3 linked regions of the Xenopus tropicalis genome follow. The protein of the gene in region 1 purifies or fractionates together with the protein of each later gene. This does not show direct contact. Links are inferred from orthologs where the notes say so. Each region holds a gene or a part of one and is shown in the gene's direction. Other genes may lie near its edges. The genes, in order: fgf11, ube2o and sirt1.

What was found.
Region 2: the proteins of fgf11 (region 1) and ube2o purify together in Homo sapiens (affinity purification with mass spectrometry; 3 studies listed by BioGRID and IntAct, with this or other methods). This does not show direct contact. The link is inferred for Xenopus tropicalis from reciprocal best matches to the Homo sapiens genes FGF11 and UBE2O.
Region 3: the proteins of fgf11 (region 1) and sirt1 purify together in Homo sapiens (affinity purification with mass spectrometry; 3 studies listed by BioGRID and IntAct, with this or other methods). This does not show direct contact. The link is inferred for Xenopus tropicalis from reciprocal best matches to the Homo sapiens genes FGF11 and SIRT1.

Annotation. Positions count from the first base shown.
Region 1 is NC_030679.2:152,810,053-152,814,400, forward strand, and holds the start of fgf11 (fibroblast growth factor 11), read left to right. Parts: upstream 1-1,511; 5' UTR 1,512-1,897; coding exon 1,898-2,090; intron 2,091-2,713; coding exon 2,714-2,824; intron 2,825-4,348.
Region 2 is NC_030686.2:45,261,689-45,265,337, reverse strand, and holds part of ube2o ((E3-independent) E2 ubiquitin-conjugating enzyme), read left to right. Parts: intron 1-606; coding exon 607-716; intron 717-826; coding exon 827-977; intron 978-1,097; coding exon 1,098-1,579; intron 1,580-1,686; coding exon 1,687-1,841; intron 1,842-2,535; coding exon 2,536-2,648; intron 2,649-2,913; coding exon 2,914-3,042; intron 3,043-3,126; coding exon 3,127-3,216; intron 3,217-3,464; coding exon 3,465-3,649. UniProt on the Homo sapiens protein: E2/E3 hybrid ubiquitin-protein ligase that displays both E2 and E3 ligase activities and mediates monoubiquitination of target proteins. Negatively regulates TRAF6-mediated NF-kappa-B activation independently of its E2 activity.
Region 3 is NC_030683.2:38,247,559-38,251,207, forward strand, and holds part of sirt1 (NAD-dependent protein deacetylase sirtuin-1), read left to right. Parts: intron 1-517; coding exon 518-597; intron 598-2,756; coding exon 2,757-2,943; intron 2,944-3,649. UniProt on the Homo sapiens protein: NAD-dependent protein deacetylase that links transcriptional regulation directly to intracellular energetics and participates in the coordination of several separated cellular functions such as cell cycle, response to DNA damage, metabolism, apoptosis and autophagy.

The DNA of each region.
Region 1 (4,348 bases):
GCGTCTGACTGGCTGTTCCTACACACTGTGCCAATTGGCCCAGTCCCAGTGCCCGACACTCACTCCTCATAGAAATGTCCGCTGCCGGCGGCGCAGTGTTTGGGCTGGAACCACTGGCACGGAACCAGCGTCAGTCATGGGAATTCACCCCCAGCTGTCTGTAAGGGTTTATATTGGGGGGCACATGGGGGGGGCTCCTATAATATATAACAGGGTATCCCCTTTATTCCTATACTGGGCCAGGTGGGGTTCATTGATGGGAGTGTAACTGAGTGAGTAAGTGGGTAGGTGTGTAGGGGTGAGTGAGTGTATGTATGAGTGAGTGAGTGTATTGGTGAGTGTATGAGTGAGTGTATGAGTGAGTGAGTGTATGGGTGAGTGTATGAGTGAGTGTATGGGTGAGTGTATGAGTGAGTGAGTGTATGGGTGAGTGTATGAGTGAGTGGGTGAGTGTATAGGTGGGTGGGTGAGTGTATGGGTGGGTGAGTGTATGGGTGGGTGTATGGATGAGTATGAGTGAGTGGGTGAGTGTATAGGTGGGTGAGTGTATGGGTGGGTGTATGGATGAGTATGAGTGAGTGGGTGAGTGTATAGGTGGGTGAGTGTATGGGTGGGTGGGTGTATGGGTGAGTGAGTATGAGTGAGTGGGTGAGTGTATGGGTGGGTGTATGGGTGAGTGAGTATGAGTGAGTGAGTGTATGGGTGAGTGTATGGGTGGGTGAGTGTATGGGTGGGTGGGTGTATGGGTGAGTGAGTATGAGTGAGTGAGTGTATGGGTGAGTGTATGGGTGGGTGGGTGTATGGGTGAGTGAGTATGAGTGAGTGAGTGTATGGGTGAGTGTATGGGTGGGTGAGTGTATGGGTGGGTGAGTGAGTGTATGGGTGAGTGTATGGGTGGGTGAGTGTATGGGTGGGTGGGTGTATGGGTGAGTGAGTATGAGTGAGTGAGTGTATGGGTGAGTGTATGGGTGGGTGAGTGTATGGGTGAGTGAGTATGAGTGAGTGGGTGAGTGTATGGGTGGGTGGGTGTATGGGTGAGTGAGTATGAGTGTATGGGTGAGTGTATGGGTGGGTGGGTGTATGGGTGAGTGAGTGTATGGGTGAGTGTATGGTGGGTGAGTGTATGGGTGGGTGGGTGTATGGGTGAGTGTATGGGTGGGTGAGTGTATGGTGGGTGGGGTATGGGTGAGTGAGTATGAGTGAGTGAGTGTATGGGTGGGTGAGTGTATGGGTGGGTGGGTGTATGGGTGAGTGAGTATGAGTGAGTGAGTGTATGGGTGAGTGTATGGGTGGGTGAGTGTATGGGTGGGTGGGTGTATGGGTGAGTGAGTATGAGTGAGTGGGTGAGTGTATGGGTGGGTGGGGTGTATGGGTGAGTGAGTATGAGTGAGTGAGTGTATGGGTGGGTGAGTGTATGGGTGGGTGGGTGTATGGGTGAGTGAGTATGAGTGAGTGGGTGAGTGTATGGGTGGGTGGGTGTGTAAGTGGGTCGGGGGGTGGGTACATGAGTGTTGCAGAGGGAAACAAGGTGCCCCCCCCACACACTGATTGGAATCTCCTGGCTCTCACACACGCCCGACTGTCAGACTGCCCCCCCCATACATTTGGCGGCTGCCAGTTGCACAGAGGAGGGAGGCGGAGAGAGGGCTGGGGGGGCCCAGGGAGCGTTGAGGAAAGGGAGAGGCTCCCCCACACACACACTGACAGGATAACGGGACTGGAACTCCGGGGGACAAGGTCCTGCTAGAGCCCACGATGGATCCGTTGGACCCCCCTAACCAGGAGGCAAATTAGTGGGACAGAGCCCCCCACTCTTTCCCTTGGGCTCAGTCACTGGGGGGGGGATGTGGGCTGCGCATAGGGAGCTGCTGTAGGGGCCACACGGGCTGCGCAGGGGATGGCCGCCTTGGCAAGCTCTCTGATTCGCCAGAAGCGAGAGGTGAGGGAATCGGTTGGACCTCGCCCCGTGCCCCCCCAAAGGAAAGTCTGCCCCCGAGGAACCAAGTCTCTGTGTCAGAAACAACTTCTCATCCTGGTCTCCAAGGTCCGGCTCTGTGGGGCCCAACTAGGGACACAAGAGAAGGACTCCGGTGAGTGCTGGGGCTTAGTGAGTGAGTGTTGTCTGTGAGTGTGAGTGAGTGCAAGTTACTGGAACCTCCTGCTGTACTTCCCCCCATTCACACCTAATTTCTAGGTCACCACCCCTCCATGACAGACCCCCAATCCTCCGCTCCTCCGTTACTGACCCCCCAACTTACTGTTACTGCACAGTTACCCTTTGCTGCTTTCCCATCATCCCCAGTGGTTCTTTGCTCAACCAACACCTTCCGTTGTGCCACTCGCTTTGTGCCATCGGCTTCTCTGTGCCACTCAGTGTCCCTGCTTCTCCCCTGCTGTCCCTCCCCCACCCCAAGAAGTGCCATTGCCTCTCCCCCTCGGGCTGCCCCTTCCATCCCCCCCCCCCCCCCCAGCGCTGTCTGTATAATGGATTGAAGTGCTCGCTCCCATGGGATCTAAACATGAAAGAAAGGAGGTCACGGGCATTCGGAAGGAGAAAGAGACAGAATGATTAAAAAGTTCTAGAGGGAGAAGAGGAAAAGGGTTGTGATTGTATTGAAGGGGTTAAGGTACGAGCATTAATATCCCTCTCCCCGCCCCCCCCCCCCCCCATCTTCCTATGTTTTACCCCCTTTCCCTCCAATCCGTCCCATAGAGCCTCAGCTGAAAGGCATTATCACTCGCTTGCTCAGTAGAGTTGGATTTTATCTTCAACTTCTCCCAGATGGAACCATCCAAGGTTCAAAAGAAGAGGGAAACCCATACAGTGAGTATAAACCAAGACCAAACTCAACTCAAACACATGGAGCTTCTCATTCTTTTAGCCTGTTCTCACAGACATAGACCAGAGAGGTTGGTCACAATCTCAATATTAGAACAACCTAGACTAAACCCAACGGGTTGATCATCTCATCTTCTACACTGCAGCATGATGGTCTGTTGAGACCCACCTAGAGCCAGAAAAGAGGCGCTGTTCAGAATATCTAATTGAAAGCCAAAGGGGGTAACAATGACCTAGAACCACCTAGACTTAGAGGTAGATATAGACATGAAAGGTTGGCCACAATCTTCAATATTCAAAAGTCAATATTAGAACAACCTAAACTGTACTCAACAGGCTGGTCATCTGATCTCCTGCACTCCAGTATGGGGGCTCGACAATAGAGGTAGACATGAGAGGTTGGTCACAATCTTCGAAAGTCAGTATTAGAACAACCTAGACTAAACCCAGGGGGTTGGTCATCTGATTTTCTACAATTCAATGGGGGCTTGTTAAGAACCACTTGAAATCAGAAAAGAGGCCCTGTTCATAAAATCCAGGTGAAAACCCAAGGAGGTCACAATCTCCTAGAACCACCTCGACTTAGAGGTAGACATAGACATTAAAGGTGGGTCACAATCTCCTAAAGTCAATATTAGAACAACCTAGACTTTACTTACCGGGTTGGTCATCTCACCACCTGCACTCCAGTATGGGGGCTCGACAAGAACCACCTAGAGTCAGAAAATCTAATTGAAACCCCCAGGGGGGGTCACAATGTCCTAGAACCACCTAGACTTAAAGGTAGACATGAGAGGTTGGTCACAATCTTCGAAAGTCAATATTAGAACAACCTCGACTAAACCCAGGGGGTTGGTCATATGATCTGCTACACTCCAGTATGGGGGCTTGTAAAGAACCACCTACAGTCAGAAAAGAAGTCCTGTTCAGAAAATCTAATTGAAACCCCAGGGGGTTACAAGGTCCTAGAACCATCTAGATTTAAAGTGGCCATACATGGGCAGATTTCAGCTCCCAATTTGAGTCCTTCAGGCTGATTTGGCAGCTTATCTGCCCGTGTATGTGCACCCCCAATGGTTCTACCTGACCAATATCTGGCCTAAAATTGGGCAGGTATGATTTTACCATTGGATCAGGAAATGCATCAGTAGATGTGGCCCGATGACCCATATACGTGCCATTTTAATGAGAACATTTGGCCCTAGGGCCAAACAATTGAATTAGCACTGTGGGTGGGCATATCGACAGACGATCCACTCATATGCCCACCTCACCAAACAAGCAGATCATAGGTGTATGGCCACCTTTAGAGGTAGACATGAGAGGTTGGTCACGATGTTCAAGTCAATATTAGAGTAACCTAGACTAAACCAAAGGGGTTGGTTATCTCATCTCCTGGTCTTATGGTCATCTCAGGTATGGGGCTTGTTAAGAACCACCGTTCATTAAATCTAATTGAAACCCCCAAGGGGGGCTGCGATGTCCTACCCTGAAGAGCAATAGTCTGGT
Region 2 (3,649 bases), on another chromosome or scaffold:
GTAGTGCCCATACACGGGCCGATTAGCTGCCGAATCTGTCTAAGGGGCCAATATCGGCAGCTAGAATCGGCCCATGGATGGGGACCTTTACTCTTGGTGACTTCTGTTGCCATTTCATTGTGCCCATTGTGCCCCACTCATGAGTTTCCACCTGAAGTCCTTTCCCCCCATACTGTATAGGAAGCTCTCATATACGGTATGGGGGGGGGGGGGCAGTGTGTACCCTAGCTATCCCAATTCCAACCTCACCAGGCCATCCGGCTAATTACCCCCCCACCTGCTCCAAGATACCCCAAGGGGGTGCCCTACCCTAGTGTGGAGCCGTGGCGCTTGCCGTGCTGGACCCTGTAGTGCACTCATGAATAATTACTTTAGCTCATGAATAAGTAATGATTTAGTGGCGACACGGAAGGTCGAAGGTCGGGACCGCCCATGCAGGCGGCACCCGGTGCTTCAGGGAAACGTCTCCCACCCCTTATAGTTTATTTCTGGTGCTTGTAGCCGGTTAATCTCCTGGTAGAGCGCCCGTTTCCTGCTCAGTGTGTGATGCTTACGTATATGTGCGTGTAACACGCGTGTGCGTTCATTCTCCCCCCCGCGTTACAGGTGCAAGTCACTGAATTACGAGTTACTTGGATCACAAAAAGCTTTTGTCTCGGCGGCACCGATTCCATGGACCCCCCACCCGCTGTGATTACTCAGGAGAACCTGTCTAGGTGAGTCCAACCTGAGCCAATGGGGTGGGAGTTTCCAGTGCACCCAAACTGTTCCTCCACTAGAGGGCGATATGGGCAACTCCATGAGCTGCTGTTCTGTTTCCCCTCAGAGTGAAACGACTGGGCTCCTTCGACCACACGCAGAGGCAGCTGGGAGAGCGCTGTCTGTACATCTTCCCCACTAAGGTGGAACCCACCAAAATTCTGTGTGAAAGTCTCGAGAAGAACTGCCTGCTGGGGGAGGTCACCGTCACCAGGAAGGTAGGGCCACTGAAGGCTGCAGAGGTAGCGGCCCAAGCAAAGGGTATTAGCTGGCACTGGCATGGGGGGGTTGTTTATCATGGTAGGAGATGTAACACCTGATTTTCTGTCTCACCATTGGTCCATACACAGCAGGTGGAAAAGCTACGGGAGAAGCAGATAGTCAAGATAATCTCATGTACCCAGGATCCCTCCAACCCTACTGAACTCCTCAAAAAAAACTCCACAGTGCCCCCGTCGTATGAAATACCCACAGCAAGGGCAACCGAGGAAGATCTTGTCTCTGCCAAGCTGGAAGGGGAACCCCCCGAGGAACCGAACGTTCCGGAGTGCCCAACCAAAGAGCAGCCTTTGGGCACCTTCCGGGAAATATTCCAGGGCCTCCAGCTGCATTCCTCGGAACAGGACGCCGACGATGAAGCCGCAGGGGATACCGACGAGACCAGCTCGGTGACTTCCTCGGCCAGTTCTACGGCTTCTTCCCAAAGTGGCAGCGGCGCTGGGCGCAAGAAGAGCATCCCCCTGTCCATCCGGAACCTCAAGAGGAAACATAAGAAGAAGAAAAAGAGCAAAGTATACAGAGAGTTCAAACATGGCGACAGGTTGGTATTAGTAATGGACCCTCCCAGAGTGCCAAGCAAAGGGCAGCTATGTAGCTGCAGCGCCCCCTCTGGTCGTTTTACATTGTCATCTATGGCTGTCCCTGCAGGGTGGCTGTCGAGGTTATAACCACTGTGACCACGGCTGACGTTATGTGGCAAGATGGGAGCGTTGAGACCAACATCCGCTCTAATGAACTGGTACCGATCCAGCATCTGGATAACAACGAGTTCTGCCCCGGGGACTTTGTAGTCGACAAGAGAGGTCAGTAATGTTAGATGCACAGAGACAGAGCAAGGGGCATACGGGCAGATGAGTGGGGCAGAGACAGAGCAGGGGGCATATGGGCAGATGAGTGGGGCAGAGACAGAGCAGGGGCATACGCGCAGATGAGTGGGGCAGAGACAGAGCGAGGGGGCATATGGGCAGATGAGTGGGGCAGAGACAGAGCAGGGGGCATATGGGCAGATGAGTGGGGCAGAGACAGAGCGAGGGGCATATGGGCAGATGAGTGGGGCAGAGACAGAGCAGGGGGCATACGGGCAGATGAATGGGGCAGAGACAGAGCAGGGGGCATACGGGCAGATGAGTGGGGCAGAGACAGAGCAGGGGGCATACGGGCAGATGAGTGGGGCAGAGACAGAGCAGGGGGCATATGGGCAGATGAGTGGGGCAGAGACAGAGCAGGGGGCATACAGGCAGATGAATGGGACAGAGTGAGGGGGGGCAGAGACGGAGTGAGGGGCAGAGACGGAGTGAGGGGCAGAGACGGAGTGAGGGGCAGAGACGGAGTGAGGGGCAGAGACGGAGTGAGGGGCAGAGACGGAGTGAGGGGCAGATGAGTGGGGAGAGTGAGGGGCAAATAACAGTAAATATGTGGGTTTAAGACAAACAGATTTACAGAATGACGCTCTCCGGTTCATCTGAAATAGCCTTTTCCTTCTCTCTCCCCCAACAGCCCACGCTGCCCAGGACCCCAGTATATACGGAGTGGTGCAGTCTGGGGATCACACGGGCCGTACTTGTGTGGTAAAATGGATCAAGCTGAATTTGAATGGGGACGATACGGAGGTGAGTTACGGAATCGCTGTGACCCGACATGTCCCTTCCCTGAGCCAGAACTATATTTTATGGACCGTACGGCACGGGGTTCTGTTATTTCTTTGTGTTCAAAGGTTTTTGTCGATTTACTGATTAGTGGCCGTCCTGCTTCTCTGGGCTGTGCTGGGCCCGCCATGTTGGGCAGGGGTGCAAGACTGTTAGCCGGGTGATACTGTGTGCCCCATCATGCTCTGCTTCAGCCATACACACAAACATGTCTCTTACTGTTTCTCAGCTTGTTGGGGAAGAGGAGGATGTCAGTGTGTATGACATTGTTGACCATCCAGATTTCCGATTCCGAGCCACAGACATAGTGATCCGCATTGGCAACTCTGATCCAGAAGCCTTTCCTGATGCCAGCCAGGTGGGAACTTTTTATTCCAGATGCCGTTACCGGTGGCTGTTACATTTATTTAAGGTGATTAAACCCCCTTTCCCTGTTTTGCAGCCGTCGGTGGGGCAGGTGGCTCGGGTGGACGTGAGCAGCAAAGTCGAAGTGATCTGGGCTGATAATTCCCGGACTATTGTCCTCCCACAGGTAAGTGTGTTGTATAAATATTGGGGCCCACCCCATCTCTGATGTCACAAAGGGGGAGGGGTGTAGCAGGCACACACCCACTGATAGGGGCTGATGGTAGAGGAAGTGGGGAAGGAGGGTGGAAGGAAGAACTCATACTCGCCCTGTGGATATTGGGTCCTGTGGATACTGGGTCCTGTGGGTTACAGGCCGCATTCTCTGTTCTGGAGACTGCTGCACCTACAAATTGTTTCCTTTTGACTCCCCAGCATCTGTATAACGTGGAATCCGAACTGGAGGAATCCTTTTATGACTCCGTGGACAGCAGCTCCAGCGGCGCCTCGTCTGATGAATGGGAGGATGAGAGCGACAGCTGGGAAACGGACAACGGGCTGACGGAAGATGAAATCCCTCGGGCGGCGGGGGGGGAGGAGGCGGCGGCTTCACAGAATGA
Region 3 (3,649 bases), on another chromosome or scaffold:
GTGGACACATTCCTGAGCCACCCTTTTAGTGCTGCCTGTGTATTTAAGGTCATTTTCACCTAAGCTAAAAGAAGGTTGTGTTTATTTTCCCCTAACAATTCAATCTAAAGTCAGTTAAAAAGGTTACCTTTATCTTTAGAACATAGCAGTGTACTTTTGTAGCAGACCCCCATATCACCATGTGCTTCCATTTTCTTGGGCTTCTGTGATGCCACAACCAAGGTGATGCTACACATAAACTAGTGCCGCCACATGTGAGTGCTACAGTTAGCACTAAGGCATATATAATAATGGACCTATGCTGAATATACAGTTTCCTGTACATGTTGAATATACAGTATATGCTGAGGGGTAATTACCCAGATCAACAAATAAGAAATCTGTTTTAAACAAGTGACTTTATTGTTTACAGGCTTTAGCAGGCCGTGATTTACCTTTCAGCTTTTCTGAAGATATAGCATTGTGTTTGAAATAAAAATATATACTACATTTCATTTTGTTTTTGCATCTTTTATAGGATCATTTGCTGAAGCATCTTGTCTTGTATGTAAATACAAAGTTGACTGTGAAGCTGTTAGAGAGGACATATTTAATCAGGTAACACACTGATTTATTGCATTAATCAGAAATACATTTTTTTAATGAGATTTATTTATTAAGTTTAAAATTATACAGTACAGGTATCGGACCCCTTATCCGGAAACCCGTTATCCAGAAAGCTCCGAATTACGGAATGCCCGTCTCCCATAGAGTCCATTTTAATCAAATAATTCAGAATTTTAAAACTGATTTCCTTTTTCTATGTATAAATAAAACAGAACCTTGTAATTGAATCCAACTAAGATATAATTAATCCTTATTGGATGCAAAACAATCCTATTGGGTTTAATTAATGTTTTATTGATTTGTTAGTAGACTTAAGGTACTGAGATCCAAATTACGGAAAAACCCCTTATCCGGAATACCCTTGGTCCCGAGCATTCTGGATAATGGGTCCTATACCTGTACAGCATTTCCACCCAAACACAACTTATGCTTTTTAAAAAGTAAACATACTTTCAAACAACTTTGCAGGATACATCAATTAAAAAAATATTGCAGCCTTTTCATTTGTAACGTAATAATCTGGTTTGGAACTTTTACCTAAGCATGGCCCCCTATTTTCCTGCTGATCCGGCTGACTACTTTGAGGTTAAAATAAAATATAACAGAAGATGACTGTCCTTAGCCTGCTTTCTGCCTGCATCCTCCACATCCCACCATTCCCTGCACAGATTATGTCAATAAGGAAAGGAACATCACAGTGCAATGCATTGTGGGTATGTAGTTCCTGAATGCTGTCTGTAAGCATCAATGTTTTAGTCCCTCCTCCCTGGGCAGGATTTCAAATGATGCAGAAAGAGAAGAACTGTTGGGTTTTTAGCTTATTAAATGGTATTTATTTATACTTTTTGAAGGAACAGTTTACAGTGATAGGTGTATTAGGGGTTTCTGTGGTGTGTGGGGCGCTTTAACAAATTTAGCCACAGTTTCCCTTTAATGAGTAAATGGCTTTTGGCATAGGCTTATAATGCAATGCTACCCCTTCCTCATCTTGTTTCATTGTGGCGCTATGGATTCTGGGATTTGAGGTCCCCCTGCTTTCTATAAAGGATGGTGCACAGTTCTCTGGTAAGGTGAGGTTGGGGTTTCATTGCCTTATAAGTCTAAGAGGGAAAATTTTGGAGTATGGTATGTCTGTTAAAAAATAAATGTATATTTATTTTTACCAGTTAAGATATTGTTTATGTGCTATTTTTTTTTTTTTTTTTATAATGTAAGCCAACTGACTGAGCTCATCAGAAAGGAGGTTATATTAACACTTAAAGCATTTCAGCAATGGGGGAAGCAACCAATAAATAGCCATTGGGATATCTGTTTAACTGACTTATATTGGCACCTCTCAAAAAAATGTAATGCAGCAGAATGTTGAGCTTATGGAGTAAAAAAAAACTCAACTATTTACTATGTGAATCAGTAGTGACAGTTCTTTTTGTCCACTTGCTACCAATTCCACAGCAGTACACAAGTTAATAAATAGCACCAGTAGAACACAAAAGTTATTTAAAAAGTCTTAAACAATTGCTTTCTAGTAGAAGATATATAGGTGTTAACTTATTAGAAGATACCTTTAAATGGCCGCCCCCAGCCTAGGTTCATCCTCTACCCTGGGCTAGCTAAATAACAAGTCTTTCTAGTTTCCTCTCATTTTGTGTTACATAAGAGATCTGAATTTCATATTTGTTTTGCTCGGTCACAGCCAACCTATTATTTTTTGTTTTTTAACTCCTAGTTAAGACTGCAGTATTCTGCCAATTATACTGTAAATGTGAATGTACCTTTCCTTATAATGTATCATTGATCTTGGAAGAGGTTCGCTTTGACTCAAGTCTGGATCTAGAGTTCTAGTGGTAAAAGATTTGTATTTGTGCCAGCAAGCTGGTAGTAGGAACAAGTGCAAAGAAATGCACTCACTTATGCAAGCCAATAAAGCAGCAGTAATGTCTGTTATTCCACTGTTTTACACAACTTGTTGTCTGCATTACTTGACTGCAGTGAGTGCATTGTGATTTGCTAAAAATAGGTCGGCATATCCATGGCAATATTTTATTATTCTATGTCTCTACTGGAACAGTTGGGCTTTTGTAGCTATTTGCAACTTGCTGTTACAGAAGTTCATATTTTTGTCAACAGTTACATTTTTGTTTTGCATACAGATAGTTCCAAGGTGCCCAAGGTGTTCATCTGATGAGCCTCTTGCCATCATGAAACCGGACATTGTATTTTTCGGTGAAAACTTGCCAGAACAGTTTCACAGAGCTATGAAATATGACAAAAACGAGGTTGATCTTCTTATTGTTATTGGATCTTCCCTGAAAGTCAGGCCAGTAGCATTAATACCAAGTATGTATTTTATTTTATTAAAAACTATTAATCAAATATTGAGTGTATAATAGTTTTCAAGAAAATGCCATTATTGTACCTGCAAATTGTAAGTCCTGCAAAAATCAGTCACATAGGAACAGAGTGACTTCAGTTTGTAGGTCAGGTGGGTTGTTTTTAAGCCCATTTAAGCAGCCCTTGAAATGTGAAGCTTACATTTCTGTTTAAAATCTACATCAGCCTCCATGTGGTCTATATTTGTTATAAAACTAGCCATATGAATCTGTGGTAATTGTACCACCAGGTAAAAGATCACATTGGCTACAGACCTTGCTGTGTGCTAGTCTTGTTGAATGGATAGATTTTATCTTATGTGATAAGTTGTATTTTTGTTTTGTTCTGCATTTACTTTTCTGTATATTTTTAAACAGATAATCTTTTCAGTATTTCTGCAATTACCTTGTATTCCCCATAACTGGAGAAGTGTATTTATGTTTTGAAGGGATACTGTATCCACACCTGGCTTGTAGACCATGCTTACCCATACTTATTTATCATAAGAGAAAGGTGTCACTGACAAGAAAGCATAGGATATCAAAATGGAGCAATGATCCAAACAAGGCAAAAATGCAAGCAGAGTTAGTACACCTTTTTAAAGCTTGGGATGCCCCATAACACTTACTGTTTATAATTTATTTATATTAATATATATTATATTTATAATGAC